3 linked regions of the Notamacropus eugenii genome follow. The protein of the gene in region 1 interacts with the protein of each later gene in a pairwise test. Links are inferred from orthologs where the notes say so. Each region holds a gene or a part of one and is shown in the gene's direction. Other genes may lie near its edges.

Region 1 (10,757 bases):
TCATCCAACCCTCAATTTATATATAAAAAAAACTGAGGCCCAGAAAAAGAAGGACATAGGATTATAAATTTAAAACTACAAAGGATTTTAGAGGCCATCAAATCTAACCCCTTCATTTTAGAGATGAGAAACCTGAGGTTTTAACAGGATGAGTGAGTTGCCCAGGGACCCTTAGTTAGAAGGCATCTGAGAAAGATTTGAAGTCAGGCCTTCCTAAGTGCATGTTGAGGTAGAGATCCAAAACACCACCCAAGGTGACAATCTAGACACTAGCTCACATTCTCCTGACACCCAGCCTCGTCTCTTTGTACCCCATAGCCACCTCTGTAAACATCAAGGGTGTCCCCCTCCTCCCTACCCCATGAACTAATTCCCAACATTTTTTAACAAATCTCCCCCTCATTCCCTTCACAAACATCTTCCTCCTTCCTCAGGCCTCATCTTCTCAAACTGAAAAGGTCTCAGATTTGGGGGTCTTTCTTACCTCAGCCACTCTGGCTCTAGGTTCTTCCCCCCATATCTCATGCACTGACCACTCTCTGGGCCTTCACTAGGAACAATGAAGAGAAGTTACAAAGAGGCTGGATGACTTCCTAACAATGATAGTTGTTTAAAAGTGAAATAGATTGCATTGGGAGGCTACATTCAAGGACAGGGACGGTCTTTTGCCTTTTTTGTACCCGCAGTGTTTAGCATAGGTTCTGGCACATAGTAGGCACTTCATAAATGTTTACTGACCAGTGGATTGCCCCTCCTCTGAGGTCTTCAAGGAAAGACTGCAGGATCTCTTTTCAGATACATCATAGCGAGGATTCCTTTCCTGTATGGGTTGGACCAGATGGCCATGTGCCTCATGAGGTCCCTTCAACTCTCAAATTCTGTGACTCTGTGGCAGGCTTCCTAAGTGCTGTATACTAAAAAATTCCTCCCCTCCTGACCCTACCTCAGTTCCTCCTAACTTAAGATGAGTCATTCCATTGTCAGAACCCTTCCCTTGACTGGAAGGGCTGATCTACAGGAAAAAAGACACTGAATGGAGCTAAAGGGGATGGGATAGGATGGGGAGACTATCCTGGTCTTCTTCCCAGGCAAAGGTTCTGCCTCTAAGAATCACATAAAGAGTTGGAAGACATGTTAGAGGAATGTAGACTAATCTCCAAACAAAAAGGAAATTCCAGCACAGTTTGCCTGATAAGCAGTCATTCAGCCATAATCAAAGAGGGGAAACCAACTACCTCTCCAGGGTTGCCCAGTCCATTTAAGGATAGTGCTTTTTGTGGGGAAAGTTTTCCTGGAAGTAAATTTATTTGTAACATCTACCCACAGGTCTTAGTTATGCCTTCTGGGGCCAAGCAGAGCAAGATAAATCCCTCTTCTTCTAAGGTCCTTTCCAACTCTAAATCTATGACTATAGACCTAGAGATGAAAAGGATTTCAGTCTTTTTCAATCTAATAAACCCCTACATTTTACAGAAAAGGAAACTGAGGCCCAGGGAGATTAAGTGATTTGTCAAAGATCAGAGTATCAGAGTTGGGATGTGAACCCAAGTCCCCTATATTATACTACCTCCCAGTATTTGAAGACAGAGAGAAAGAGACAAGGGAGGAAGGAAAGAAGGAAGGAAAAAAAGGAGAAAGGAAGGAAAGAAGGAGAAGGAGGAAGGAAGGGAGGGAGGAAGGAAGGAAGGAAGGAAGGAAGGAAGGAAGGAAGGAAGGAAGGAAGGAAGGAAGGAAGGGTGAGAGGAAAAAAAGAACATTTTATTAAGTTCTTACTATGTGCCAAGCACTGTGCATAGCTCTAGGGATACAAATACAAAAATAAATACCACTCCTACCTTCACTAAACTTACATTTTAATAGAAAGAGAATGCATACATAGGGGATGGTAACCAAGGAAAAAGCATTTTGGTCAGAAAAGTTACAGGGCCGTAAGAGAGTGGGTTGAGATACGGAAAGGAAAATGGCAGAACTGACTGGTTCATGGCTCCAGAACTGGAGGGTTTAGGAGCCTGCACCAGGATCAAGGTTCTTTCCCATCCTAGTTGTCCTTCAGCTTATCCACAGCCTCCTATAACATAGTGTTAGAACAGAATGCATTGCAATGCTCCAGGTCCTGAGATTCAGTATCAAGCATCCAGCGAGAAGATCTCACACCTGGGAGTCAGGAGCCCTAGGCTGAGATAATATATGAGAGAAAGTCACTTTTCTTCTATGATCCATATATAAAAAGAAAGGATGACATCAGATGGTTTCTAGTCTAGAAAATTCCATCCAGTGCTGACATCCACTATTCTATGAGGTGAATGCTGATAACAGAGATGGGTTAGGTGGCTCAGTGGTCAGGGAAGGTCTCCTGGGACAGCTGGGCCTAGAACTGGGCATTGGTTCACATCTCAAGTCTGATATTAATTCTTTGGCCTTGAACGGATTGTTTAATCTTTCTGGGTCTGAGGTTCCTCATATGTAAAAGGAGGGAGTTGACCAAACGGAAAAGATGGGAGAGAGAAGGTAGTACAGACTTCAAAACTGGGGGTGGGGGAGAAAACTAAAGGGGCCAGAAAGGCTGGGTTCTAGGGACTCTTCCTTTATATCAGCCTACACCCCAAATCCCAGAGCTACCAGCCAGCGGCAAAAGGGCTTTCTGGGGCCTCCCCCTCAGCTGCTCACCCAGGTGTTTTCCCACTCCTGAAGCTCTGGAGACTCCACCCAGCACCCGGAAAAGGATATCCAACAGTTAGTGAGAAGCAGCAGGGAGGGAGGGAGGGGGTGGCCACCTGGAGGGCATCATTTGACTACAGGATATACTTGGAACTGGGCTCCAGCCTTCCTGGTTGCAAAATCCATTTGCATGTGAGCCAGGGGTTCCCCAGAGCAATGCATGGTTCTCCAGAATGGAATTTGATTTTCCCTACCCTTAGCAAAGAAACAGGCAGAGAGTCAGACTCCCACCTAGAGCAGAACTGGTAAATTCCCAGTATCACCTAACATATCACAGTCCCTCAGGAGTTCATAATGGAGGGACCAGGATACTAGGATCTTCAGGGACCTTCATTAGACTGTGGGCTCCCCCAAGGAAGGGATTATCTTTTTTCTTTCTTTTTATCCCCAGCGCATAGCAGAATTCCTAGAACACTGCAAATATTTAATAAATACTTATTGGCTGATTTACCTGGAGAAGAGAGTCCTTAGTGAGTCAGTAGCTTCTCACAGAAGTTTGATGGACCTCAGAGGTCCAACCCATACCTGAAAAGGAATTTCCCTCAGTAGCATCACCCAATAAGTCAGCATTCAGCTTCCCTGTGCAGACCCCTAAAGATGAAGAATTTACTACCAGTGCAAGTGGAATTTGGAAAGAAGGAACCCAGAGGGGCTGCTATATTTTCAAAAGCATTGCACTCTTGAGTTCCTCTGGATTTCCTTTTTCTGATTCCTCTCCAGTCTTCCAAATCCTCCCCATCTCTAATCTTAGCTCTTCTGGGAAGCCTTTCATAACATCTCTCCAACACAAAGTCAGCTCTTCCGCCAGTGACCTTCCCTAATATTTATAGTGTGTGCCTTTCTGTGTCCACTTAGTATATCACGATATTGTTAGCTTCCTCCCCATCCCAATCCCTGTGTGTTTACCTTGTAAATACCCAATATATATTTATTTACGAACTCCTTAAAGGCAGAGAATTTTTCACTTTTGCATTGTATTCCCAGTGCCTAGAATACAGTAAATGCTTAAAAATGGTTTGTTGACTGGTTGATTGGTTAACTCTATGTTTCTTTAATTATCTGACTTTCTCCCCCTAAAAGGCTTTGAATTCTCTGGGGAGACAAGGACTAGGTCTCCCCAACAGGTGGAATCCAGGGCCTCCACACACAGTAGGCTGTAATTACATGGATGCTGAGAGATGAGTCCATCCCCATTACTCCTGAGAAGGCCCATACCTAAAGCCTACTCAATAGAGAGGAACGACGGGATGGTCTCTCCTGCCCCTGAGATTGTTGGCATTTTCAAAGCAGGAATCAATGTTTCTGTCTGTATTACACCGTGCTTTATGCAGAGCAGATGCTTGTGGGAATGGACTGAATTTAACTGTATGGGGTCTGAGGAAATAAATGTCTCTGAACAGGCAATAGCTCTGACAGCGAGTCACAGCTCACTCAGGTCACCTGTACTGTGGATGGCCAGTGAGGGTGTATGTATATGTGTGTATATACATAGATACACATGTATATATACATACATACATACATACACGTGTATATAATAATAGACATTGCTGTGGAACTTTTAGACTCAGAAAAGATAGCCTAGATATTATGCAGATTATCTCATTTGACTAACGTCCCTAACAATCCTGTGAGGTAGGTGCTACTATGATGACCCTCCTTTTGACAGAGGAGACTCCAGGAAGTCAGGTGTCTGGCTTCGTATACTTAGGAAATGTCAAAAATAGGTAGACCCAGCTTTTTCCATAATCACAACAGCCTGATGTGGCCCACATGGGGAGAGTGTGTGTGTGTCTGTGTGTGTGTCTGTGTCTGTCTGTGTGTGTGTGTCTGTGTGTGTGTCTGTGTGTGTCTGTGTACCTGTGTGTGTGCCTGTGTGTCCGTGTGTGTGTCTGTCTGTCTGTGTGTGTCTGTGTCTGTGTGTGTGTCTGTGTCTGTGTGTGTGTGTCTGTGTGTCTGTGTCTGTGTGTGTCTGTGTCTGTGTCTGTGTCTGTGTGTGTCTGTGTCTGTGTGTGTGTCTGTCTGTGTCTGTGTGTGTGTCTGTCTGTGTCTGTGTGTGTCTGTGTGTGTGTGTGTCTGTGTCTGTGTCTGTCTGTGTCTGTGTGTGTGCCTGTGTGTGTGTGTGTGTGTGTGTCTGTGTGTGTCTGTGTGTGTGTGTGTGTGTGCCTGTGTGTGTCTGTGTGTGTGTCTGTGTGTGTGTGTGTCTGTGTGTGTGTCTGTGTGTGTGTCTGTGTCTGTGTGTGTGTCTGTGTGTGTGTCTGTGTGTCTCTGTACCTGTGTGTGTGCCTGTGTGTCTGTGTGTGTGTCTGTCTGTCTGTGTGTGTGTGTCTGTGTGTGTCTGTGTGTGTGTCTGTCTGTGTCTGTGTGTGTGTCTGTGTGTCTGTCTGTGTGTGTGTCTGTGTGTGTGTGTCTGTGTCTGTGTCTGTGTGTGTGTGTGTGCCTGTGTGTCTGTGTCTGTCTGTGTCCGTCTGTGTCTGTGTGTCTGTGTCTGTCTGTGTGTCTGTCTGTGTCTGTGTCTGTCTGTGTCTGTGTGTCTGTGTCTGTCTGTGTCTGTCTGCGTCTGTGTGTGTGTGTCTGTCTGTCTGTCTGTGTGTGTGTGTGTGCCTGTGTGTCTGTGTCTGTCTGTGTCTGTGTGTGTGTCTGTCTGTGTCTGTCTGTGCGCGCGCGCCTCTCTGCACCTGCGGGTACCTGGTGCCCACGTGTGCCCGCACCTCCTCAGCACAAACTCGGAGCAAGAACGAGGGTAGAGAGGGTGTGACCCGGTCCCCTCGCTTCGCACGCCAGGCTCCTGAGGCCCGGAGGGGTGAAGCCCTGGCCCCGGGTCCTCTGCGCTCTCTCTCCAGCCTGTCAGCCTGGCCCTTCCGCCCCACCTCCCCGGGCCCCAAGCAATGGACGTGGCAGGGAGGCCAGGCGCGGGCAGAGGCCGCTGCCCCTGGGCCCCCTCCCTTTCCCCACTCGGCCCCAAACCCACGTGGACGCCGCGCCCCCCGGCCCGGAGGAGCTAGTCCCGGGCCGGCCAGGACTGGAGAGTCCCCGCGCCGCCCTGGGGCTGGCTCCGGGGAGAGGGGCCGCGGGCCGGCTCGGGGAGGCGGGAGGCGGGCCCGGGAAGACGGGCCGGCCGGAGCGGGGGGAGGAGCAGGAAGGGGCGGTGGCTGCGGCCGCTCCGCCTTCCGCCTCCCCACCTCTGCCCGGCCCGGCCCCCCGCCGCCTCCTCCCTCTCCTCCTCCTCCTAAAGGGCCCCGCCGCCGCCGCTCCGACTTTCCGCGTCTTCGAGGCCGCCGCCACCTGTCGGGACCTGCCCGCCCCCCGCGGTAGAAAGCCCCGGGGACGAGCCCTGCCCCGGAGTCGGACCCCCATGGAGACACTGCTGGGCACAGCGCACGGCCGGGTAGGACGGCCCCGGCGCGGGCGGGGCGGGGGCAGCGGGGCGGCCGGGGCTCGGGCCCCCGACGTGGCCCGCGTTGTCCCGAAAGTAGGGCCGGAGTCGCGGAGGGGCGGCGGGGCCGCTGCCGTCCATCCCGGACTGGGCCCGGAGGCAAGCCCGAGACCGTCAGGCCGGAGCCTCGGGGCCTGGGGCGGGGTGGGAGGGGGCCCAGCCCCCGGGCGGGGGTAGCCCGGACCGGACCGCCCTGGCCCCTCTTCCTCGCTCTCCCCCGCTCTCACCTCCCCCCAAAGTTTCCCCCGTACTTTTGTGCCCCTTCAGCACTTTGGGAAAGTCCCCCGTCCCGGGCGCCCGAGCCCCCTGACCTTGGCAATGCCTTGGGACCGTTGTCTGGCGCCCGGATCTAAGGAGCAGGTCCGTGGCCCCCCCTGCCCCCCTGCCCCGCCACGCGGAGATCGGGACCTTGGCTGGGGGGGGGGAATTCGCCCCCCAGTTTGGTCCGGCTTCTTGACCCCCCCCCCACTTCCCGGTCTGCCAAGGTTATCTGGTCCCTCCCTCGCCCGTCTCTTAGTTAGGGGGTGGGGAGGGAGACGTACAACTGGAAGCAGCTGCCCTGGACCGGTGGGAGGGGTGGTCTGTGAGCTCTCCCTTCCCCCAATCAGAAGAGACTTGAAGGGGTGGGGGGTGCGGAATGGGGAGGGGGAGAATTTCAAAGAGGTCTTAGCCTCAGAGGCCCCCTGGGGAGGGCAAACTGTTAGAGAGGCAGGGTTTTGTGAGTCTTTTCTTGACCTTGCATTTCTGGCCTCAATTTCCTAGCAATATGGTGGCCAAGAGTAGGGAGGTTTTGGTTTCACAGAATAACTAAGAAAAAAAATCATCTAGTTCCTTCTTTTAGAGATGTGGGCCCAGAGCTAGGAAGTGATTGGCCCAAGTTGCACCAAAAGTCAGTGACAGAACTGAGATTTGAACCCAGGCCTCCCAACTTCAGGACAACTTTAGTTTGTCTACCTAGGAATCCTAAGTGAATGCCACTCCTCTCTTCTGTCCTAACCCCCCTGATTAAGTGAGCATCTGCTTGGTTGGTTCACAGAAGCTGGAAGGAACTGGGAGCTTGAGCCTTCAGGAAGAAAAGGATGAACATGGACCAGAGGTCCCCCGAGGTCCTTACTCCTCGAAGTGAGGGCCCTTTCCATCAAACCAGTCCTGCCATGAGTCTTTCAGCTGTCCAGGAGAATGCCTCTCTGGGGCCCAACAGCCTGGGACCCCTTCCCAGACGGCGGGGAAGCCCCCATCCCAGCCGACCTGGCTCTCCACACAACAGAACTGTGATGGTGACCCCAGAAACAGGCCAGCCAGAAGGGTTGGATGATACAGAGCTACAGATGAAAGTGGACTTTTTCCGGAAACTAGGCTACTCATCTGGGGAGATCCATGGGGTCCTACACAAGCTGGGACTTCAGGCTGACACCAACACTGTCCTGGGTGAGCTGGTGAAACACGGGTCAGCCGCAGAGCGGGAAGCCCCAGTGGATGGGCCCACAGAGCCCCCACTGGTGCCCCGAGGTGGAGGAACCCCAAAGGCACCCTCCCCTTGCTCTCTACCCCCTGAGGACAAGGAAGCCAGTAACCTGAGGCCAGTGGTCATCGATGGGAGCAACGTAGCCATGAGGTCTGTTTGCACACTCTGGGTATCATTTCGTCTCTTCCTCTGTTTTAATGGTGGTCATGAGCATATTTGTCATGACCCTTGCTGGCAGTCCTGTAGTCAAATTAGAGGTTTTTATGGTTATCCTGGTTACAAACACAAGGGTAACATGGCAGGGCTTTTGCTTGTAGTCTGTTAAACAAACATTCTTTAACTGCACCTCACATTTTTGGTAGTGATGGGTATACAGTTCTTCCATCACCAAGGCACAAATCTAACATCTAGAATGTTACGTTTCTTATAGGAGGATAAGTCACCAACATTTCACTGGTGAAAATCATTAGGGAGGAATAGGTTTGCATCTCTTCTGGCCTCAGTTTTCCTCATCTCTAAAATGGTATTAGGTCCAGAAGAATATGGAACCCATAGGAGCTCTTGTGTTCCAAGTGAGGACATGCCAACTCCATTATCTCTCTGAGGAAATATGGACAAGGGATTGAGTTCCAGACTTGGAGTTGGGAAGACTTGGGTTGAAATTGCAACTTTTTACATTTACTAGCTAATGTGGCCACAGAAAAGTCATTTAAGCTCTATAAGACTGAATTTTCTTGCTTTGAAGGCTTGTTAGACTATACGTAAGGTCTTTGAAAACATTAAAACTCTGGATGCTAAGATATCCTCTCCTCTTCAACTGCAGGAAGGGTTGCCCCCAACTCTATTTTGTCTGCAAGGACCTGGACTAAATGTAGTTAATTCCTGGCCTTTGGAGTGAGTGGGTGGACCCAGGGGTGAGTGAGCTTAGACCTCAGGTGAACCAGTGACTCACCTACCCCTCTGACTCAGGGGACTGCCCCTGCCAGAGCCCTGAGCCATAGGGAAGGTGCTTCCTGGAGCTGGCTGGGGACAGCGCCTCTTGAGCCTTGGATTCAGGCAGGAACTCCCCTGAGTGAGGGAGAAGGCAATGGGGTGGCTTGCTGGGGAGGGGTCAGGGCGGTCCATTTTCAAGCGAGGATGTGGGGAAATAGCAAGGTCTAATGAGTTCCCAACATTTCTGTTCTGGCCCAGCTAGAGGGTTTGGAGTAAAGTGGTCCTGGAACTGTTACTGGGAGGTCCTGGAAAACGGGTCAGACTAGAGGCTAAGCCTTTCCTCTTAGCTAGCTGGAACAAAAAGCCCTGGTGTCTGGAGAGGGAAAAGGTCAGGGGTCAACTGTAGGGGAAAGGAAATGAGTGGTTTGGAAACAACCTATATACTAGACAAAGAGCCTGAGACTAGGAGTCAGGAGACCTGGATTCTAATATTGGTTCTGCCACTGACTTCCTATGACCTTGGCCAGTTTCCTTCCCATGTCAGGATCTCAGTTTTCTTCTCAGTAAAGTGAAAGCCAATGAACTACAACCTTTCAGCTGACCCATTGTAAATCTGAGTGGGTTGCTATGTAGTTTAACAATAATTTTTTGTAACTGAAGACAGGAGGAATTTTCTTGAGGGTTTTTAGAATGAAACCCTCCTGATTTGGGGAGTTAGTGCAATGCTTTCCTTACTTTACCTATGGGAAAACAGTCAGAGAGGGAAGGATCATAGGATCATAGATTCAGGGTTGTGAATTTGGACAAGGTTATCCAGCAGGTGTCTGAGATTTGGGGTTCTGAGTTTCCTTTCTTTCTGCTCTTACCCAGTGAGATCTGTGTTGACCTGGACTGAAAGAAGAGGGGAATAGCTAGGGTGGCCTTGGATTCTGGGGACTTCTAATCTCTGGCAGCTTCCCCCACTCTTAACAATCCCTGACACAGCCAAGGTCAAGTCCAGTTCTGTACTTGGACCTAAGACAAGCTGGGTTTGGGGCTACCTGGAGGTCAGGGGAAGAGTTTCTGAGAGAAAGCCTGGCAAGTCACAGTTTAGTGACTAGTGGTTATTCCTAACTCTGAGGGGCTCCTGACCCTGTTACTTGTTCAGCTTACCTGTTACCACCAGCCCCCTTAAGCTCTTGATAGTTGTTGGTGAATAGGGGTAGGGGGTGAATGTATAGAATCTTTCTGGTGTGGTATGAGTTTGGGATCCATCTGTGTCTCTGTGTGGTATGAGGTTGTGTTGTATAGGGTCTGAATACTGGTTTGTATGGTATTTGGATCTATGTAGAATGTGTCTCCAGGTTAAGGATTTTTTTTTTTAATTTGTTTTTGCATCCTAACATAGTAACTAGTTAAAAGTAGGGTATGTATTATATGGGGATGTTGGGTTGGATTAAGATTTGGAGTGGGAGGGCCTGGGCTCAGATGCCCACTCCCCTGTGTGATATTGGGCAATTTCTGGCCCTCTCTGCATCTCCATTTCCTTATCTGTAAAATGAGGGGTTTAAACTTCTTTATTCAGTCCTCAAGAGCAAGGGTTGTATCCTCAGCACCCAGCACGGTGCCTGGCACTGAGGAGGAGCTTAATAATGCTGCATTGATTAGTTGGCCCCCAAAGGCCCTCCCACCTCCAAATCCATGATCCTTTTATTTGAATATTCTTAGACTGGATAAAGAGTCTGTGGTGAAACTGATTTTGGGGTGATGTGTCAGGATAGTATAAAGGGGGCTGGGTATATTGTTTATTGGTGTGTATTGAGGTGCCTCAGGGTCATGTATGTGGATGGGGGCTGGAGAGCACAGGTATATAAGACAGATTTGTATACAGTCAGTTTGGGGGTGGGTAACAGACGCTATCTTCGCTTCTTGGCATGTGTATAGTAGTTTGAGCTGGGAAAACAGTGTGTAGGGGAGGGAGAATGAGGGGGAGGCAATCCAGCCGGCCAGCCTGGAACTGGCAGGAAAGGCCCAACCCAGCCCTGGGAGCCATGAGGAGTGGGAGAGGAGAGAGGTCAGGCCTGGCTGGGACCACAGTCCCCTGCTGGCTGGGGTTTTCATTGCTCCCCAGGAGGGGAATTCCAGCCCTGACTTCCTGTATTGGCTGTGTTGCAAACTGTGTCCCTGCCCTGCTTAACTACAACCCCCCTCCGCCCCCACCCCTCC
Region 2 (10,027 bases), about 49 Mb from region 1:
TCAGACCTTCAATACTTAAAGGATTCATGAATTTGTCAGTATAACTCCCTTCACTGATAAAAAGCTCTAGTGTCAAATTCACGTAAAAATGGGGCCACTAATGTGTATATAAGGATCCCAGTGGGTAGCATATGGACTTAGTTTTCAAATGTGATATTATGTTCTATTGTATTTTTCTATTTTGTTAAATATTTCCCTGTTACATTTCAGTCTGTTCCTCTGCTGGTTTTCATGAGCTGCTTTTACTGAAAAAAAGACATTACCCTTTCTGATGATAAAATAACACTGCCGGGGCTATTTTTGAGACCACAATCCACTCAAAGACTTTCCAGATTGATAGTGCCTGCCATTGTTTATGCTCCATTGGCATACCTTTGGAGAGCCCAGGGTCACCTCCATACCACTGCAGAAAGGTTCTTCCAGAGGGGTTCCCTTCCAGTAGCCAACTACTGCTCTGGATCCCATGCTCCATTCAGGGGCCTGAAGGGAATCCATCTAGCCATTTTGCCTTTGCTAACTTTGGTTGGGGGTGGGGTGCGGGTCCCTATGACCTGGAGTGCTCTTAAGACATATGCCTATTATATTTCTGGGACCTAGGGCTAAGTGGGGGAAGGGGAAAGCAAATTTAGGTTTAATTGAAATGGAAATTTGCTCCCAGTAATGGAATGAGCTGGGTTGGGGAGGGTATTTTACAGTGGTCAAGCACAAGCTGATTAGGGGGATTTTTGCATTGAAAACACAAAGGAGTCTAAAGTAATGCTGAGGGTGGGAACCACTGTGTATGTAGATCATTTTAGCTGGAGTGAAATTTTGCAAATTGGGAAGTAGAGAAGGGGCAGTAAAAGGTAAACTTAATTACTGCAATTGATCAGACTTCCTAGATTCCTGCTGCCACCTGGTGGACACAACCACCTATCAATGTCTCAGGCTCAAGATCAGAGGTAGAAAGCATCTTTTAGGAGACAAAGCATTAGCAACTTTAGTATCTCTCTCTCTGTCTGTCGCTCTTTCTTTCTCTGTCTCAGTCTATCTCTGTCTCTGCTCTCTGTGTCTCTGCCTCTGTGTCTTTGTCTCTATGTCTCTGTCTCTCCCCCCCACCCCCCACTCCTCGCCTCTCCATTTTTTAAGTGGAAGAAACAGACCCAGAGAGGGAAAATAATTTGTGAAAGGTCAGGTAGCAGGCCTGTCAAAGACTCCAAGTGTTACGACTTCTCTGGTTCCTTTCAATTTCATCTATCATCCACTGACAAATATATGAGTACTGTATACAATGTTACGGTCACTGAAAACAAATGAAAGGGAAGGATTTCAATCATTTTAAAGAGACCTCCCCAAATGAGGGTAAATTGGTCCCTATCCCTGGGCCTCAGTTTTCCTCTTTTGTTTTTTAAGGTTGAAAGAGATTCATTCAGCATGTGTGCAGAACTTTCTTGTACTCAGCACTGGAGGAAGATGAAGGCAGAGTTGGTTTTTCATCTTTGTCTCTTTCCTGCCTATCACAGGGCTTTGCACATAGTAGACACTGTGTAGCTATTGAGTTAAATTAAAATTGAGGCATTTGTCTTTTCTAAGCCTACATTCCTCATCTGTCCAAATGGGAAATATTTATACTACCTGCCTCTCAGGATCATGCTAGAAGATTTACAAAGTTCCAGAGGGAAGTTCAGAAGACAGGGAGGACAACTCTGAAACTAACATAAATTTACTACATGTGTTCTTTTAAAAATGAAGCTACATGTAATAGAGAATTGTGGCTTCATATACAACCCTTTTTTCTTTTTTATAAATATATGGAAATACTAAAGTTTTATATTTGTCAAGTACAAAAACCAAAAGGAAGTTCAAATTTAAAAATTAACCAAGTTCTTTGGAAATATTATCATCTTTCTTGATAGAATTTAAGAACTTAGGGCAGGAACTACATCTGTTCATCTTATTCTCCCCACTCCCCCCCACCCCAGGCCAAGGTCAGGGCTCTCTACGCAATGTTTCTCAACAAAGGTTTTTTGAATAAATGAAGCACTTTATTACATGGTATCTTTTGGTGTCCTCTGAGTTTGTGGGCAAGTATACCCTGAGACTATGCACAGGTCCCTTTTCCTCTGTAGGTCTGAGTTTCTGTAAAAATTAGGAACTACACAGTGTTAGTGGCAAAACCCAGATGCCCAGGTTTCCGATCTAGGAATGATAACAATGAATAATAACTTCACATCATAAACCATAAAGTGCTATGGAACTGAGGTGGGGGGAGGTCTTACATCATTTAATTTGATCTTTATTTTATCTAAATTTTATCTTTATTTGATCTAAATATTTTTTAAGTTCCTACTATGTGCTAAACACCGTGCTAAGATCTGGGGATACAAAGAAAAAAGTGAAAGTGAAAAAAATTATTGCCTTCAGGGGGCTTCCATTCTACTAGTAGGATTTACCACATCCTCATCTAAGTAAGGTGTGTGTGTGTGTGTGTGTGTGTGTGTGTGTGTGTGTGTGTGTGTGTGTGTGTGTGAGAGAGAGAGAGAGAGAGAGAGATTTGGGGAGATTACTAGGAAAGACCCCTTGTTTAAAGAGGTAGTTCCTGAGCTGAGTCTTAAAGAGAGCTAGTGAGGTATAGTAAAAGTATTGTTCCCATTTTATAAATGAATAAATTGAGGCTCAGGCAAAGTAACTTGCCCAAAGTCAAATAAATAGCTAGTATCAGCTGGGATGGGAACCCAGGGCTTATTCCAAATTCAGTGCTCTTTCCACTATACTCCCTGCCTCTTAGTACTTTTTAGGAGACCAGCTTCATGTCTCCACAGCAGAAGTGGAAGTGCTTAATGGCAGACAAAAGACTTTTATGTCTTGTCTTTTCCCCTACTCAGCACAATATTAACCACAAGGCACAGGCTCAGTAAATAGAAAATTAAATTGCCTCACCTAGAAATAGGTTCCAGGTATCAGTCTTCACTGTTAAACAAAAGACAAATGGTGCAATCTTCAGTGAAACATGGTAGGGCAGTTCTGATACAATACTAGAAAAGTGTCACCATGGGAAACTGAGGAAATAAGAGAAAATTGTCAAGAAGGCCATACATTCCAAATCTCCACCAGGGGGCACTCTTGGCATTAGAAACATAGAACCAGAGTCTTGTCAACCTAAACACTACCCTCTCCAAGAACTTTCTTCCCCACCTATTCCCTGCAAATTTGGTTTATTTTTCTCCAAAATAAGGGCTAGGAGTGCTATCTTCTGGGCAGTAAGATGGCACAGTGGAGAGAGTGCTAGGCCTGGAGTCAGGAAGACTCCTTTTTGTGAGTTCAAATCTGGCCTGTGACACTGGGCAAGTCACTTAACCCTGTTTGCCTCAGTTTCCTCATCTGCAAAATGAACTGGAGAAGAAAGTGGCAAAGCACTCCATTATCTTTGCCAAGAAAATCCTAGGCGGGGTCGGAAAGTTAGAGATGACTGAATCACTTTTCCCCCTGCTGGTCTTTTTGTTTAGAAATGGCAACATGGAACTGTCAAAAGAGTTCTGGATGTGGAATCAGAAGACCTGGGTTGGCATCCAGGTCCTACCACTTGTTCAACATTGAGCAAGTTACTTCTCTCCAGGCATTTTTCTCATCTGTAAAATAACAAGGCTGGATTAGTTGCTTCCTCCAGTTAAATCTCAAGGTTCCTATGACCTTCCCTGACAAACAGGAGTATAAGGTAGATAAGATGAAGTTACTTTAGCGTGGCTCTTGAGTTCTCACTGGAGAAGAAAGAGGAAAAGAAAAAAAAAGTCGGGCAAAATCCTGACTCTAGCAAAGAAGGTATTTTCTAACTAGAAGCTTTCCTCTGAGGAAGTACTTAGGAAAGAAGCCAGAGAATGGCAAGTGCCTTAGGCCAGAAGTCCTAGCCCTGACTATGCTTCTGATTCTTCTGTGTGACTTTAAGAAGATTCCTTCACATCTGCCTCAGTTTCCACCTCTGTAAAAATGAAGGGTTTGGATTTGATGATCTCTAAGGGTCTTTCTAGCTCTGACATTCCATGGTCCTTCACTGTCCTCTCCAGTGAAGACTGAAAAACACTAAATAGGTTAGTTACTAGGACAGGCCGAGAACACCACCAAGAAAGTTCTTTTCGTCCTGTACCTAGGACTTTTTTTTCCTGTAGATGCCAGTCCTCTCTAAGGGAGAAGCTTACTACCAGACAATATACAGGATCACTGTCAGGACTGGAGGGGATCTTGCTGTCATACAGACCCATGCAGACTTGAAGCTGGAAGGGACCTTAGAGGTTATGTAATCCAATCCTCCTATGCCAAAGATGAGGAAACTGGGGCTCAGAATGCCCAAAGTTTCAAAGGTAGTTTGACTCCAAGTTTAACTTTGGCTCTAAACCTAATATTCTTTTCTACTCTCATTTAGATATAATTTCAAGATTTACAGAGTTTACTTTCTTTATAACCTTTTTCAGAAGGCAGGTACTCCAAGTATAACTTGTCCCCATTTTATAGGTAAGGACAGAGAAGCTCCAGATTGTGTGACTGGCTCATGGGCCCGCAGCTAGTCAATGTTAGAACTGGGATTAGAGCCCAGGTCTCTTTCTGACTCCAAATCTAGTGCCTTGCACCACATTGCCTATCATCTGGCATTAGAGAGAGAAAAGGCTGGAATGACTCCTTAAAGAGGATTTAGGATGTTCAGAACTGTAAGGGGCCTCGATGTCAGGCCTGGAAGGAACCTGAAGAGATCGTTTATTCCAACCCCCTTATTTTACCCAGGAGGAAAATGAAGCCGGGGTGGAGGAAAGGATTTGTGCAGGGCTGGACAAAGAGCTGGCTGCAGAGCTGGGATCAGAATTCGGATCTCCTGTCTCCCAGCCAAGGCTCCCTCTGCACTCTGCAATTTCAGAGTTGAGGTTTAAGGAGCAATGGGAAAGGAAGAAAGCCTAATGGGAAAAGGGGGAAGGGGATATAGCCAGGTGGGAGGGTAAAACCAAAGTGATGGGAACTCAAGAGAAAAGAAGGGTGTGGGGTAAAGAGAAGAAAGACAAGAGAAAGAGTTGAAGAACGATAAGGGGGAAAGAGCTGAGGGAAGAGTGGTGTAGGGGAGAGGACGAGAGGGAAAACAGGAAGATAAATGTATATATAAGAAGTGGGGGAGGAAACAGGCAGAAGGGGAAGGGGGGCTGGCGGGGAAGGGGCAGAGCTATATGGTAAGAGGAAGGGAAGGGGGAAGGGAACTAAGGAAGAAAGGAAGAAAGAGAGCAGAGAAAGGGAGAAAGCAGACCGCGAGATGGGGAGGATGAATGTATGAAGTGGTGGAGGTGAAAAAGCAGAGGAAAGAACAAGGGAAAGTGTGAAAGGAGAGGCAGGGGATGTAGAGAGGCTGTAGAAGAGGGAAGGAGGGAGTGGAGCAGAGAAAGGGGAGGAGAGGAGAGGGGAAAGAAAGAGGCAAGGAGCAGAGGAGGAGAGATGTGAGGAGGGAGCCCGGAGAGTGCAGGGGAGCAGAGGGAGGAAAGAGAGCGCTGGGAGGGCAGTGCAGCCCCTGGCGGCATGGGCCCCCCGGCGGCGCTGGTGCTGCTGGTGCTACCGGTGCTGCCCGCCCTGGAGCTGGGGGCTGGGGTTCGGGCCACGGAGGCGGGGGGCGGCCCGCCCCGGGGCCGCGGGGAGGACAAGTTCTCGGCGCTGCAGAGTGTGGAGCGGGCTCTGGGTCCCGAGCGGGAGCTGCTGCGGCTGCTGGAAGGCTACGTGCGGGGTGAGGAGGCCCGTCTGCGGGACCTGCGCAGGTAGGAGCTGCCGGCTGGGGTGAGTGTGTGTGTGTGAGTGTGAGTGTGTGTGTGAGAGTGTGTGTGCGTGTGAGTGTGCATGTGTGTGCGCGCGCGTGTGCGTGTGTGTGTGTGTGTGTGCGCCTGTGTGTGAAAGCGCACGGGATCCTGACCCACCGATCCTGTGGCTACTTAGGACACTCCGTGTGTGACACTGTGTATTTGTGTGAGAGGGAACACTTTGGACACTAACTCACAGCCCCTGTGGCTGCTTAGGACACTCCCAGTGTGTGATACCGACTGAGTGTATCAAATGAGACTGTGTACAGCATTTTGCCACCCTTAAAACACTATAGAAAAACCAACTGTTACTATTCTTGAGCTAGGGGTGTGTATTTTGAGACCCAGGATGTGCCAAGGAACTCTGTGTCACTCCTGAGATACAGCATGTGATATTGTAGAAAGCCTGGTGCTGCGAGGTAGCATGTGTAACATTGTCTCAGTAAAGTGGACTGGGCTCCTGTGTGAGACACAGGACCCTGAGACACTATGGTTTCACACTGTATGAAAGAGAACAAATAGATGAAGGAGAGAAACCCAGATGATGGGCTGTGAGCTCCTGCAGGACTGAGACTCTTAGCCAGCTCTGTATAAAGGAGAGGCAGTGTGGCGTGGTAGATAGAGAACAAGACAGTCAGAAAGACCTGACTTCAAATCCCTCAGGGATTTGCCTGGGTGACCCTGGGTGAATCACTTAACCCATTAGTGCCCCAGGAAATTTTCTAAAATTAAGACACAAAGCAGTTACAGATCTGATCTGCATTGGTATAGTGAATTTCCTTACTGGGAGATCCCTACACTGATGAAATCACAAGTCTAAACCAAAGCCTGAATTAAGACCATGTATTAATTATGTTTGTGTCATCCCTGTGTGCTGGGCATGGTGTATGTATGTGTGAAGGATGGCGTGTTAATATTTACTCTGCATGCCAGTGATACTGAGTATGTGACATTGTATGGATCACACTGAATGAGTCGATGTTGCCCTGTGTGAATGTATAGCACTGTGGGTTATGCAGACTGAGTGGGGCCAGAAAAATCTTAAATGACACAGTGTGATGCTGTAGGGGCAGGGCTGTGACCTTGACACCAGTCCCCAATGACTACTAAGCTCTGTGACTTGGAATGATTGTGTTTTACACCATGGCTGAGAGAGACAGGCACAGACAGACACAGACTGAGACTGTGAGACACATGGGAGGAAGAGTGAGATTCTGTTTGTGATTTGGTGAACAGCTGAACATTGGTATCCAACCAAATATGACTGCACACAAGAAGAATGATGCATTTTTTTGGTCAGTTAGCTAATGTGTATGTGTGAGACATAGTTTATCTACATGTATAAAATATGCATGAGTATGTGCCTTAAAAATAAATGATAATGGTAGTTTTGATGATGATGTAATGGTGGGGGAAATTAAAAAAATTTTTTTCTTCCATATTCCCACAGGCTTTACTTTTATCAATTTCTTCAAAGTAGAATATTTTTCCAGTATTTTGTGGATCCAAGTACAGAAAGAGTCAGAAAACATACTTTAATTCCCAAAGTTAGAGCAGTGGAAAGGAATACTAAGCCTGATCCCATAAGACTAATACTAAACGTGTACTAATACTAAACTAGTCCCACCTCTACCATTGTGTGACCTTGGGCAAGTAAATTACTGCCTCCCTGGGTCTCAGTTTCCCTATCTGTAAAAGGAAGAGGTGGGAATAAATGGTGTCTTAGGTCCCTCCCATCTTGAAATTCTATGGTTAAATGAGATAATGTACGTTAAGCAATCTGCAAACCTTAAAGCACTACATACGTGTGAGTTTATCTTCTGTCTAGTTTGGACATCCTGCATTTTAAGGTTCATCCAATTAGATTGTGAGCACCTGGAGGGAAGGGAGTGTCTTTTGCCTCTTTTTGTATCACTTGCACTTAGAATAATTCCTGGCACATAGTAGGCTCTTAATAAGTGTTTATTGATTGATTAATTGAGCCCAACTCTAATAATCAACATGCTAAGTTCCCTCCCCTACCCCACCCCTATTCTGACATCCTGTGATTCTATGGAGAATCAAAGCTCCTGCATAAATAGGCTATTTTTATCCCAAGTATAGCCTGACCTGCTTGTTCCACACACAGCCTGGCCCACTTCTGCTGTTGCCCAGCTACAAGGTCCCATTGCCACCAGCATCAACTTATACAAACTTTTATTAAGCACCTGCCTTTTGTAAGGCACTCTGTTGGGTGCTGTTGGAGAGAGAGACACACACACAGACAGACAAAGACAGAGACAGAGACACAGACACAGAGAGACAGAGACAGGGAGAGGAATGACATAGTTCCTGCCTTTAAGGATCAGTGTGATGTCTGGGAAAGAGTACTGGATCTGGAATCAGAAGACCTGGGTTCAGACTCTGACCCAGCCCCTTTTGACTTGTCTGACGTTGGGCAAACCATTTAACCATTGTGGCCTTCGCTTCTTCATCTGTAAAAAGAGGGAGTTGGAATAGATGATCCCCAGGGTGACTCTCAACTCTGAATCTCTTTTCTTATGATACAAGTAGGTAGCTCAGATATGGGCACCCAGTAGGAACAGACTGGAGCCAGTTCATACTAGCTTTTGAGAGCACCATTGTTAAATTTTCAGCGTGAGCATTTGCAGTTTGTTGTTCAGTCCTTTCAGTTGTATTCAGCTCTATGATCCCATTTAGGGTTTTCTTGGCAAAGACACTGGAGTGGCTGGCCATTTCCTTCTCTAGCTCGTTTTACAGGTAAAGAACTGGGGCAAACAGGGCTAAATGGCTTGCCCAGAGTTACACAGCTGGATTTGAACTTATGAAGATGAAGCTTCCTGATTCTAAGCCCAGTTCTCTATCCATTACACCACCCGGTTTTACTTTGGAAATTGGCAAATCAGGACTCAGCAGAGTCTAGACCAGGGGTGGGGAAAAATGTTAATATTATATTCTACTGTTAAACTTATAAGTTTCTGTTTTCCTCTCTCCCCAGGAGCTAATTATTAAACATTTACCAGCACATCCATGGACATACATAACTACAGTACAAATAAGAGTTTAGTAAGTAGTAGCACAAAATACACAGAAAGTACATATTTGCTTCTAAATCCCCTAGATTGTAAACTCCTTGATAGCAGGACCTGCCATATCTATTCTTGAGTCTGTTAGTCAACAAACATTTGTTAAGTGCTGACTATCATGCCAGACACTGCTAAGCAAACAGACAGTGCTTATAAGAGGTCCACACTTGCTGCTTTCACCAGCTCATCACCCACTCACAGAATCATATACCGGCTGAAAGGGAAGGAACCTCAGAGGCCAGTTCTAGTCCACCCCAAACATGAAAAAGAATCACCAGTGTACTTTAGAAGTGGGTCTCCAGTTGTCACTACTTCCTGAGGCAGCCCACCCCACTTTTGTATAGCTCCAGTCATTGGGAAGATTTTCCTTAAATCTAACTGGTATCTGTCTCTTAGCAACTTGAACTCATTATTCGTGGCTCTGGTTCTGGAGTCAAACAATGAGCCTATTCCCTCTTTCCTGTAGATGTCACACCCTAAATCTTTTTTCTAGGCTAAACATCCTCAGTTGTTTCATTCAGTCCCCAGATGACATGGTCTTGAGGACCCTCATCCATACTGGTTAACCTCTGCACATGCTCCAGTTTGCAGTATCCTTCCTAGAAAGGAACTCTCAGCCTGAACACAAGACTCTAGCTGAAGGACCCAGCAGGATTGTCCTGTATGCTGTCCCTGCTCCTCTATGCTGGGTATCTCAATGCCATCTAAGACTGTGTCAGGGTTTTGGACTGCCATATTTTCCTTTTGACTCATATGGAGCTTTCAGTACACTAAAACCCCCCCAACACTTGACTTGCTGTCTAGCCATACCTCTCTATCTCGTACTTAACAAATTTGTGTTCAGCCAAATGTGATGTTTTATACTTGGGTATCAGAGACTGGATCCAAAAAGATGTTGGCAGGCTAAAAGATTGGGCTGAATTTAATAAATTAAAACTAAATATGGCTTCAGAGGACAGAGTTAAGAGCACTGACTAGTAGTTATGGGGAAGCAGATTTGGGTTCAATATATATGTATGTATTCTATAATCTTATTTATATAGAATATTGTATATACATAATATTATATATAATCCATATAAATATAAATATATATATATATATACATACACAGAAACCTAACATTCTCTCTAACAATGAGAA
Region 3 (8,618 bases), on another chromosome or scaffold:
GCAGTTTCCTCCCCTCTATAAAATGCGGATAACGGCAGCCCTTCCTCGCCGGGCTCCGAGGAGGAAAGCTCTTTGCAAACCTTAGTGCGTTTACATTAGATTGTTAAGTCACGAGGACCCGTGTTCAAATTCTACTTCTAACAAACTATTCTCTATGAGCAAATCCCTTCACCTCCTCCGGTTTCATTTTACCTGTTTCTAAAATAAAGATTCTAAGACCCGCTTCGCAGTATCCTTAGGACACTCAGACGAGGTCATGTTTGGGAGCTTTTGGTGTAGACTTTAAAGCACAATATATAACTTAATAAAGGGTGCTGCCGACTTACAGAGAATGGGCGAGAGCTTTAGTGTCTTCTGACTTTCAACTTCGATTTAAGCGAGGCTTTGGGATATAGTGGAGGGTGATTGGCTGAATGCAGAAAACCCATCACTTAAGTTTTTCAGGGTTGTCCCCATCGACCTAAGTTTTCCACCGCTCTCCATCCTCAGTATCTTACCTCTTCATCTTTCTTTTAGACCTAGTTTAAAAAAATTGATAGCTTTTGTTATCACCTAAAATTTCTCCTCTCCCTCCTTCCCCCACCTCCTGTAACAAAGAATATTTTTAGACAAAAAGAGGAAGCAAAGGCAATCAACAAAACTTATGGATACATTGAAAAAAATCTGAAAATATATACAATGTTCCACACCTTCCACTTATGCAACATAGTAGCAGGTGATCTCTCACGTTTCTTCTTTAAAGTCAGGCTTGTTCTTTGTAATTTTGCAACATTTACTTTTGATTGTTTTGTGGTTCTTTCCATTTATCTTATTATGGTTACTAAGTATATTGTTTTGCCGGCTCTGCTTCTCCCTGCATCGGTTTATGTGTATCTTCTCATGTTTCTCTGTATTCATCACATTCATCATTTCTTGCAGCATAGAAATATTCTTGTCATTTATTAAGTCATCCCCCAATGAATGGACATCTACTTTGTTTCTAGCTCTTTGCTACCCCCAAAGTACTACCATATTTTGGTATATATGGGACTTTCTTATTATCAATGACCTCATTATACATAACTAGAAGTGAAATCTCTGGGTCAAAGGAAAGAGTATGGACATTTTAGTCACTTTATTTGCATAATTCCGAATTGTTTTCTAAGATGATTGAACTAAATCACAGCTCGATCAACAATGCACTAGTGTGAATATCAGGCCTGCACAATGTACAGGCCAAAGGCTTCTTGAAGCCTGCCAAAGCAGCCAGAAGGCAGGATGTTATGCAGACCTGTTTTACATAATCTATATTTTTCTTGGGCAATCCTTTGGCAACCACAAGCCGCTGCTGGCTGTAAGCAGCCCAAGTTGTGCAGGCCTGTTTACATCCTCTTCATTTATCCCAAACTGCCCAACATCCTTTGGAGGGCAGCGCTCTAGCCATAAGCAATCTGTGACGTTGTGCAGGCCTAATGTATATCTTCCCATAACCTATCCACCATGGACCATTCCTTTCTTTTGTCAACTTTGCCAACTTTTCAGATTTTGAAAACTCAGGATTGTTTTGATTTGCTTTTTTCTTATTTCTCTTAATGTTCTGGAGCATTCTTTCATATGGTTGTTAATATCTTGCTATTCTTTTGAGAACAGTTCATATCTACATATATATATGGACATGGTTTTGCATATATACATATATGTATGTGTGTGTATGTGCGTGTGTGTGTGTGTATCTTGGATACCCAACCCTCATCTGATAAATTTGATACAAAGATTTTACCCCAGTTGTTTGCTTCCGTTCTTATTCTAAGTCGTGGATTTTGTTTGTGCAGAATTTTTCAAATTTCACATAATAAAAATTATCTATTTTACCTTTTGTAATTTCCTCTATCCCTTGTTTAGCTAAACTAGGCCCAGTTTTAAGGAAAGTCCCTGTGATAGCACCAGGATTCCTTCACTTCAAAATGGTAGGAGTTGGTTTTCCCTAAAAGGCAACAAAACTGTTTCAGAAGTTCAAACAGACACCTGCTGGGTCATTGCAGGGATGGTTCCTGTGTGGTCTAGTAGAGTCAAGCTGAGTATCATAGGTTTACAGGACTTGTATGGAGTTAGATAAATGTATTAAAGCATCCAGATGGGGATTGCCCTTTGTCCCTTTTTAAGTGGCTGTAGTGGGGAGTTATTTGCACATGGTCCCATAAATGTTAATCTTCAGCACAGCTAGCACAGATGGGAATCTGCCAGGGAAAAGATGAAGTTCCTAAAGGAAATGGGTTTGATAGATTGGATTTATTCATGTTGCTTCCCTGACCCCCCCTCCGCTTGACCTGCCACACCCTATGACTAGCCCTCCTCTGGGAAAATTAGATTCTGACTTCTGGGTAAAGGCTCAGCAGAATGTATTCAGACTTTAGCTATTTGTCTCTAATCGTAGAATTACACAGGTGTGAGCTGATCAACTGAAATTTGAACAAGATATTGGGACAGCTATGATTTTGCAAATGCTGCCGTTAATGGGAATAGGCACTCTGAGAATGTAGGAAGGAGTCACAGAGCCCTGCTAGGTGGGCAGAGGGCAAGGACTCTCTGACTCTCTGACTCTCTCTCTCTCTCTCTCTCTCTCTCTCTCTCTCTCTCTCTCTTTCTCTCTCTCTCTCTCTCTCTCTCTCTCTGTCTTTCTCTCTCAGAGGGATCTTTGGGTGTGGTTCCTAAAATATGGGCCCTGGCCATCATGGTGCTTATAAGATTGTACAAAAAAATTCATCACCAGGACACTAAAAGCCTTTCAGCCACACCCAAGCCTAAACTCTCCTCTAAAGGTCCATTTGGGTCATTCAGGGAAGGCTACAGAGGACAAATCATGGAGGGAAAGGTATCATAGTCTCTTGGGAATAAGTATTTGTACAGGCTCTTTCATTATCCTCTATATATTCTATTGTAGGTATGGCTAAATTGAAACTGTTAGTTACCCAAACTCTCCCATTTAGTTAGCACCAACCAATTTCAAATCCTCAGAAGGGGTGAAAGGTATTTCTTCTCTAATGATGGAGATGAAGGAAGCTGGAGTACTTCATTATACAAATATCCCCTACAGCAATCCTGTCTCTTGAGGAAGACTGATAGCACCTGGCAGTTCATGGTGGACTGCACAGAGCTAAACCAAGTCATCATAACCACCAATACAGCTGATCCTGACCTCATCAATGTTGTAGATCAGGAAACCCAGGCAGCCTAGACCTAGAGTGAGTGAGGTGGGGTTATTGACTTCATTAGTGCTGGTTTCTCTGTTCCTGTGGCTGAGACTAGTCAGGAATAGTCTGTTTTGACCTGGGAAGGCACCCAGTATACCTTCATCATCCTTCCCCACACAGGCCTACCTGAAATCTTCCTCCTGCTGCCACATTAGGGTAGGCAGAGACTGTCCTTTCATGAAGGCATTAGTTTACACCACTACAATGATGACATAATGTTGACTGGGTGTTTCACTGGTAAATACACAGGTAACACCAATTAAGCCAGGTGTCAGATGACACAGTAGGGCTGATAGCAGGTATTCTGGCACAGGTTCACTCTTGATCCAGGCAGACAGGAAGACAGGAATGGAGTCATAATAAAGAGTTGAATAAGCTTACTTTGTTCCAGTTTACTCTTCTCAAAGGGAGTTTGCTGATAATGGGAGCACCATCTCCTATAGCATTCCCTAATCACCCTTCTCACAGGGGTTGGCAAGAAGGGGAGATGGCTTGCCATATGTTTTGATGGGATCAGTCGAGACAGGCACAGCATTCCAGCTTGTGCACTCCCCTAAATCCTCCAAGCCTCAGTAGGGGCCTGCTGAGGCAGGTACATGCATTCGTCTATGCATTACCCAAATCACAAATTCCCACTTACTGACCAGTGCCCACTTGCTTTATAGGGCAATGGACAAAGAAGGTATATTGCCAGCAACAGCCTCACAGATTAACTTTAGCAATATTGTCATTCAGTGCAAGCATAGTAAGTATCACATTATGTCATTCCCATCTCTCACTGCACAGTCAAAGTGGTAGAGATGTTTATAATTCATGAGCCTCAGAAATATTATCTAACACCTGTGAACTAGAGGCTGTTATGGCCATGGAGCCTGGGAACTAAACCCTAAAAAGGAATAACAAAAATCCACCTTACATACACACAAAAATTCACCTTACTTATTATACTGGACCAGATGACAACATGTTGACAAAGGCCCTAGATCAGTTGGTGGCTCATATGAAGGACATGGGGTGGAAATCAACCCTAAGAAAATCCTAGCTCCAGCCTACTCAGTCAAGATTTTGGGAATATGGTAGAAAAGAGTAAAGTGTAAAAAGATTGAGAAAATAGGAAGGAACCAGGTTGTAAAGAACTTCAAGTGACAGAGAACAAATTTGTTTTGTTCTGTGAAGTTTGGATTCAGTCAAAGGATCACCCTTGAGGACTAGAGGACATGTGACATTGAGGTCACAGGCTTCCCCAACCCTGCACTAGAGTTTATTAGTGGTAGGCATGTGTGTGACATTATCACATCTGTGCTTTAGAAAAATCACTTGGGTAGCTAAGTGGAAGAAAGATTGGAGCATGGAGAGACTTGAGGCAGGGAGGCCAGTTAGAAGGTATTGCAGTATTCCAGATGATTGGTGAACACCTGAACTTGGGTGGTAGCTTTGTGAATGGAAATAAGCTGTCATATATGAGAGATGTCACTGTAGAAGTCACAAGATTTGACAATAGATTGGATGCATAGGATAAGAGAGAGTATGGAGTTGAGGATGACACTGAGGTCAGTAACCTGACTAACAGAAAGGTTGGTGGTATTCCCTACAATAATAAGGGAGTTTGGAAGAAGGAGGGGTTTGAGGGAAGAAGGTAATGAATATTGTTTGGTATGTGTGGATTTTGAGATAATTATCCAGGATGAAATGCCAAAAAGGCAGTTAGTGATGCAGGACTGGAGCTCAGTAGAGAGACTAGAGCTGGATATATAGACCTAAGAATCATCTTCATAGAGATGATAATTGAATCCTGTGACCCTGCATCTCCAAATAGATTAATACTATAGGATTTTAGAGTAAGAAAGAACCTCAGAGAGCAGAGAACCTTTGAGGCCAGGGACTTAACAGCTCTTTGTTTCCCTGGGTCTAGTCCACTATCTTCCCCACAACAGATCTTCAATGTCTATTTGTTATCAAGGATAACAATATTTTGGCACCAAAATCTGTGTGATGGCCATCTCAGCATAAGGCAATTTACTGATGAGCAACAAGAATGTGCTTATAGCACATACAGATCCCAACCATAGTAGTACATTTATTGTAACCATCAAGAACTCTCTGCAGGAGGATACTACAGAAAGCCAATAGTTAAATGAGCAGAGTATTAATCACATGTAATTACTCATTTTTCCTTTCCATGATGAATGTGTCAGCATTATGCTTGACCACTGGTATTTCCTCTCTTGAATTATTAGTCTTGGTATTGGTGATGCATATTAAATAAAATGCTCTTGGCTCTGGGGAGAGAAATATTAATACCTGGGTATAATGTTGCCAGTTCTGCAGTGATCAAAGACATAAGAAGATGAGGATACAACTTGATCTCTCTCTATATCTTTCCCTCTCCCTTTGCCCCTGCCCCAAATCCTCACTTTGTCAATGTTGTACAGAAGAAAATGTTCTAGATTTAGAGTCTAAGGACTTGAGTTCAAATTCTTACAACCTGTCTGACCAAATAATGCCTCAGTTTCCTCAGCTGTAACACAAGAGGATTATTGGACTACACGACCACAGAGGTCTCTTATGTCTCCGAATTCAGAATCCTGTGATCCTATTTGTAGCTCAAAGCATTTCCTCATCAAAGCATTTCCTCATTCTTTTACTGTTTTCTTAACATAAACAGACTACAACAGGATTCCTGGAATACAGGGCAGATCCTCTAGAATCTACTCCAGAAGTTAGCAAGAGGCTAGAAGGAAAGTTGGGAACCAGGTCCTTGGAGAGATTACATAAGGGTCTGGGAAATAAACCCTTGAGCTTTGGAAAGTACAGATGCTCAACTCTTAGAGGGGAGTCATCATTGAAAGGAAGAAAGCAAAGATTATGGGGAAAATTACAGCTGAATTTGAGGAAGATGGTAGGGGGCTGCCTTAATTTCACCCAGTTGCCTTGTCTGCCCCATTGGGTTGTTTCTGTACAATCTTCTATCTCTCCTGGCTCAGGAAAGACCCACCCTTTTTCTCCTCCCTCTTTCTTCACTTATCATTATAGTTCAGGGGTTGAATTCAGACTGCCACCCCACTTTGGATGCCTCCTCCCTTCAAATTCTTTCTTTGCCCTTCCTATTTTTGCTCAGACACACAGACTGAACTGGAGAAAGCAAGGTGAGACACCCAGAATACAGCCAAAGCCTGAAGTACTAGTGGAGAGGCTACCCTTAGAGAGAAATAGACAGGAATTGATGAGAGGTGGAGGGCAATACATTTGTGGGATTTGAAGAAAAGACAAGGTAGTGGAGATGTTAGGGGTGGGGAGCAGAGGTCAAGGGGAAAAGTGACCTTAGCTTTCCCTCTTTCTTCAGGCAGGGAGATGGCTCTTCTCCAGTCAAATCAGGATGTCATTTCCTCAGCATTGCAGGAGTATAGGAAATTGCTGGATCAACAGGTGAGAGAGATCCTATCTTAAGGACCAAGGGATACAAGACAACTTGACTTTTGGAGGAAAAGCGGGGGTTTGATGGAAAAATTAAGGGATAGAAAATGTAGCTTCTGGGAGGTATGCAGTGACTGATGGGAAGGTTGAGTGCCTGGAGGTCAGGACATTGGAATAGTAACTTCATTTTCCCCTCCTTGCCAGGTTTTCACAGAACCTGTAATCTCTGAAGAAAACATGATCACCATCGTGGATGACTGGATAAAGTTCTACCTTTCATATTTCTCTAAAAAGATGATGGGGGATCAACAGGAACAGGAGAGAGCCATGCAAAAACTGCAAGAGGAGCTTCAGACTTCTTCCATCCCCTTTCTGGACAAGTACAGAGCCTTCCTAAAAGCCCTTTGAGTTCCCATGTCTCCCATCCCTGTTCTAGGCTTTCATTTCTAGTATATCCCCTAAGCTGAGCACCTCTGCTAATATTTTCCTCTGGCAACCTTCTGTATCTTGATTTCCCCTGACCCTAAAATTTATACCTCAATAAATATACACATGGGAACATCTGACATTAGCATTCTTCTTTCAACAAGTCTGTCCCCTAGATCTATGCATAGATCTATGGATGGGATTTAGGAGGGAAGGGCAGTACAAAGATTAGTCTCATTCGTATGTCTTCTGGGAAGTCTAATGGACTTCCATGGGTTCATTTTTCCCAGAATGAGACAATGTCTTCAGTACTTTCAGCCCTTCTGTCTTTTCTTATTACTCCCCTCACCTAGGTCTCCCCAGGACCATGCCTCCATCCTTTCCCCTTTTCTTCTGTTGGATTTCCTGGTTCACATCTTGGATTTTTCTTCTTCTGGCATCTACCTAGGTCAGAGTCAGCCATATTCTGTGATCATAACAGCAGGCATCAGGCAGACAGGAAATGGAAGACCAAGGAGGAATGAGGGTGATCAGAAGGGAGAGAGAAAGAAAAGGAGAGGGAAGATGTCTAGGGTGGGTAGGTGGGAATAGGAGAAGAGGTGGTAGTTTGTACATCCAGGAAGAGTCCCACTCCAGCTGGCCTTGAACTGCCTCAGTTAGCTTATCTTCTTTACAATGGAACTAAGAGTTCATTTTGTAACTGGTGACATTCCACTCAGGCTGAGCAAAGACAGGCTCTTTTCTGCCAATGCCCATGCTAAGCCCAGGAGGTCCTGCTCCCTCAACACTTTTTACCTGGATGCCCCTATTCATAGATCATAGAATGTCAGAGCTGTAAGGAGGCTTAGAGATTATCTGTTCCCATTTACCCCACCCTTTTAAGGATAAGGAAATTGAATCCCAGAGAGAGGGACTGACTTGCTCAGAAATATAATTGGGCATAGGGGCAATGATTAACAAACAGGAAGGAATGTTGTTTCCCCTAAAAGACATTTGTGGCTGCCAGTGAAAGGGCTTCCCAAAGGGTTCTTATCGGATGGTCTTAGAAGCCTAGGGTGCCTGGTAATGCGTGTTACCCCCTATTTCAGCCTCGGTCTTTTTTTTTTAATCTGAAACAGACATATGGAATCTAGCAGTTACCATGTTAAATTACAGATACTTTAAAGACTATGTACCATAGTGGAAAGCTGAGGTGTTGAGAGAACTGAGCTCCAGTCCAGAATCTGCCACTAGACAGCAGTGTGCCCTTGCGCAAGTCACTGTGTCCCTCTACCCACCTCCTCAACTCACCCCCAAATTCTGGTTGTCAGAATGATTTTGCATATGAACAGACCTGGTTCTTTTGTTCTTCTGCTGAAAATTCTCCAGTAATATTACAGATTAAGGAATATTCAAATTCATTTGCTTGACCTCTTGTATCCTGACTTCACTTTTACCTTTCCATCCTTATTTAACCCTATTTTTCTTCAGATATTCCATATTCCAATGACAATGGAGTATTCTCTGCCCCTTGGGCTGAAGGTACTTCTCTGCTTTGGTCTGAGTGTT

The links.
Region 2: the proteins of ZC3H12A (region 1) and P4HA3 interact in binary tests that used the Homo sapiens proteins (3 or more experiments, as listed by UniProt). The two-hybrid records come from large-scale screens. The link is inferred for Notamacropus eugenii from reciprocal best matches to the Homo sapiens genes ZC3H12A and P4HA3.
Region 3: the proteins of ZC3H12A (region 1) and AHSP interact in binary tests that used the Homo sapiens proteins (3 or more experiments, as listed by UniProt). The two-hybrid records come from large-scale screens. The link is inferred for Notamacropus eugenii from reciprocal best matches to the Homo sapiens genes ZC3H12A and AHSP.

What each region holds. Positions count from the first base shown.
Region 1 is NC_092876.1:81,820,515-81,831,271, reverse strand, and holds the start of ZC3H12A (endoribonuclease ZC3H12A), read left to right. Parts: upstream 1-5,890; 5' UTR 5,891-6,106; intron 6,107-6,465; exon of another isoform or gene 6,466-6,771; intron 6,772-7,190; 5' UTR 7,191-7,233; coding exon 7,234-7,769; intron 7,770-10,757. UniProt on the Homo sapiens protein: Endoribonuclease involved in various biological functions such as cellular inflammatory response and immune homeostasis, glial differentiation of neuroprogenitor cells, cell death of cardiomyocytes, adipogenesis and angiogenesis.
Region 2 is NC_092876.1:130,972,758-130,982,784, forward strand, and holds the start of P4HA3 (prolyl 4-hydroxylase subunit alpha-3), read left to right. Parts: upstream 1-5,198; 5' UTR 5,199-5,526; coding exon 5,527-5,759; intron 5,760-10,027. UniProt on the Homo sapiens protein: Catalyzes the post-translational formation of 4-hydroxyproline in -Xaa-Pro-Gly- sequences in collagens and other proteins.
Region 3 is NC_092874.1:319,498,289-319,506,906, forward strand, and holds AHSP (alpha-hemoglobin-stabilizing protein), read left to right. Parts: upstream 1-6,268; 5' UTR 6,269-6,376; intron 6,377-6,573; 5' UTR 6,574-6,581; coding exon 6,582-6,656; intron 6,657-6,848; coding exon 6,849-7,052; 3' UTR 7,053-7,210; downstream 7,211-8,618. UniProt on the Homo sapiens protein: Acts as a chaperone to prevent the harmful aggregation of alpha-hemoglobin during normal erythroid cell development. Specifically protects free alpha-hemoglobin from precipitation.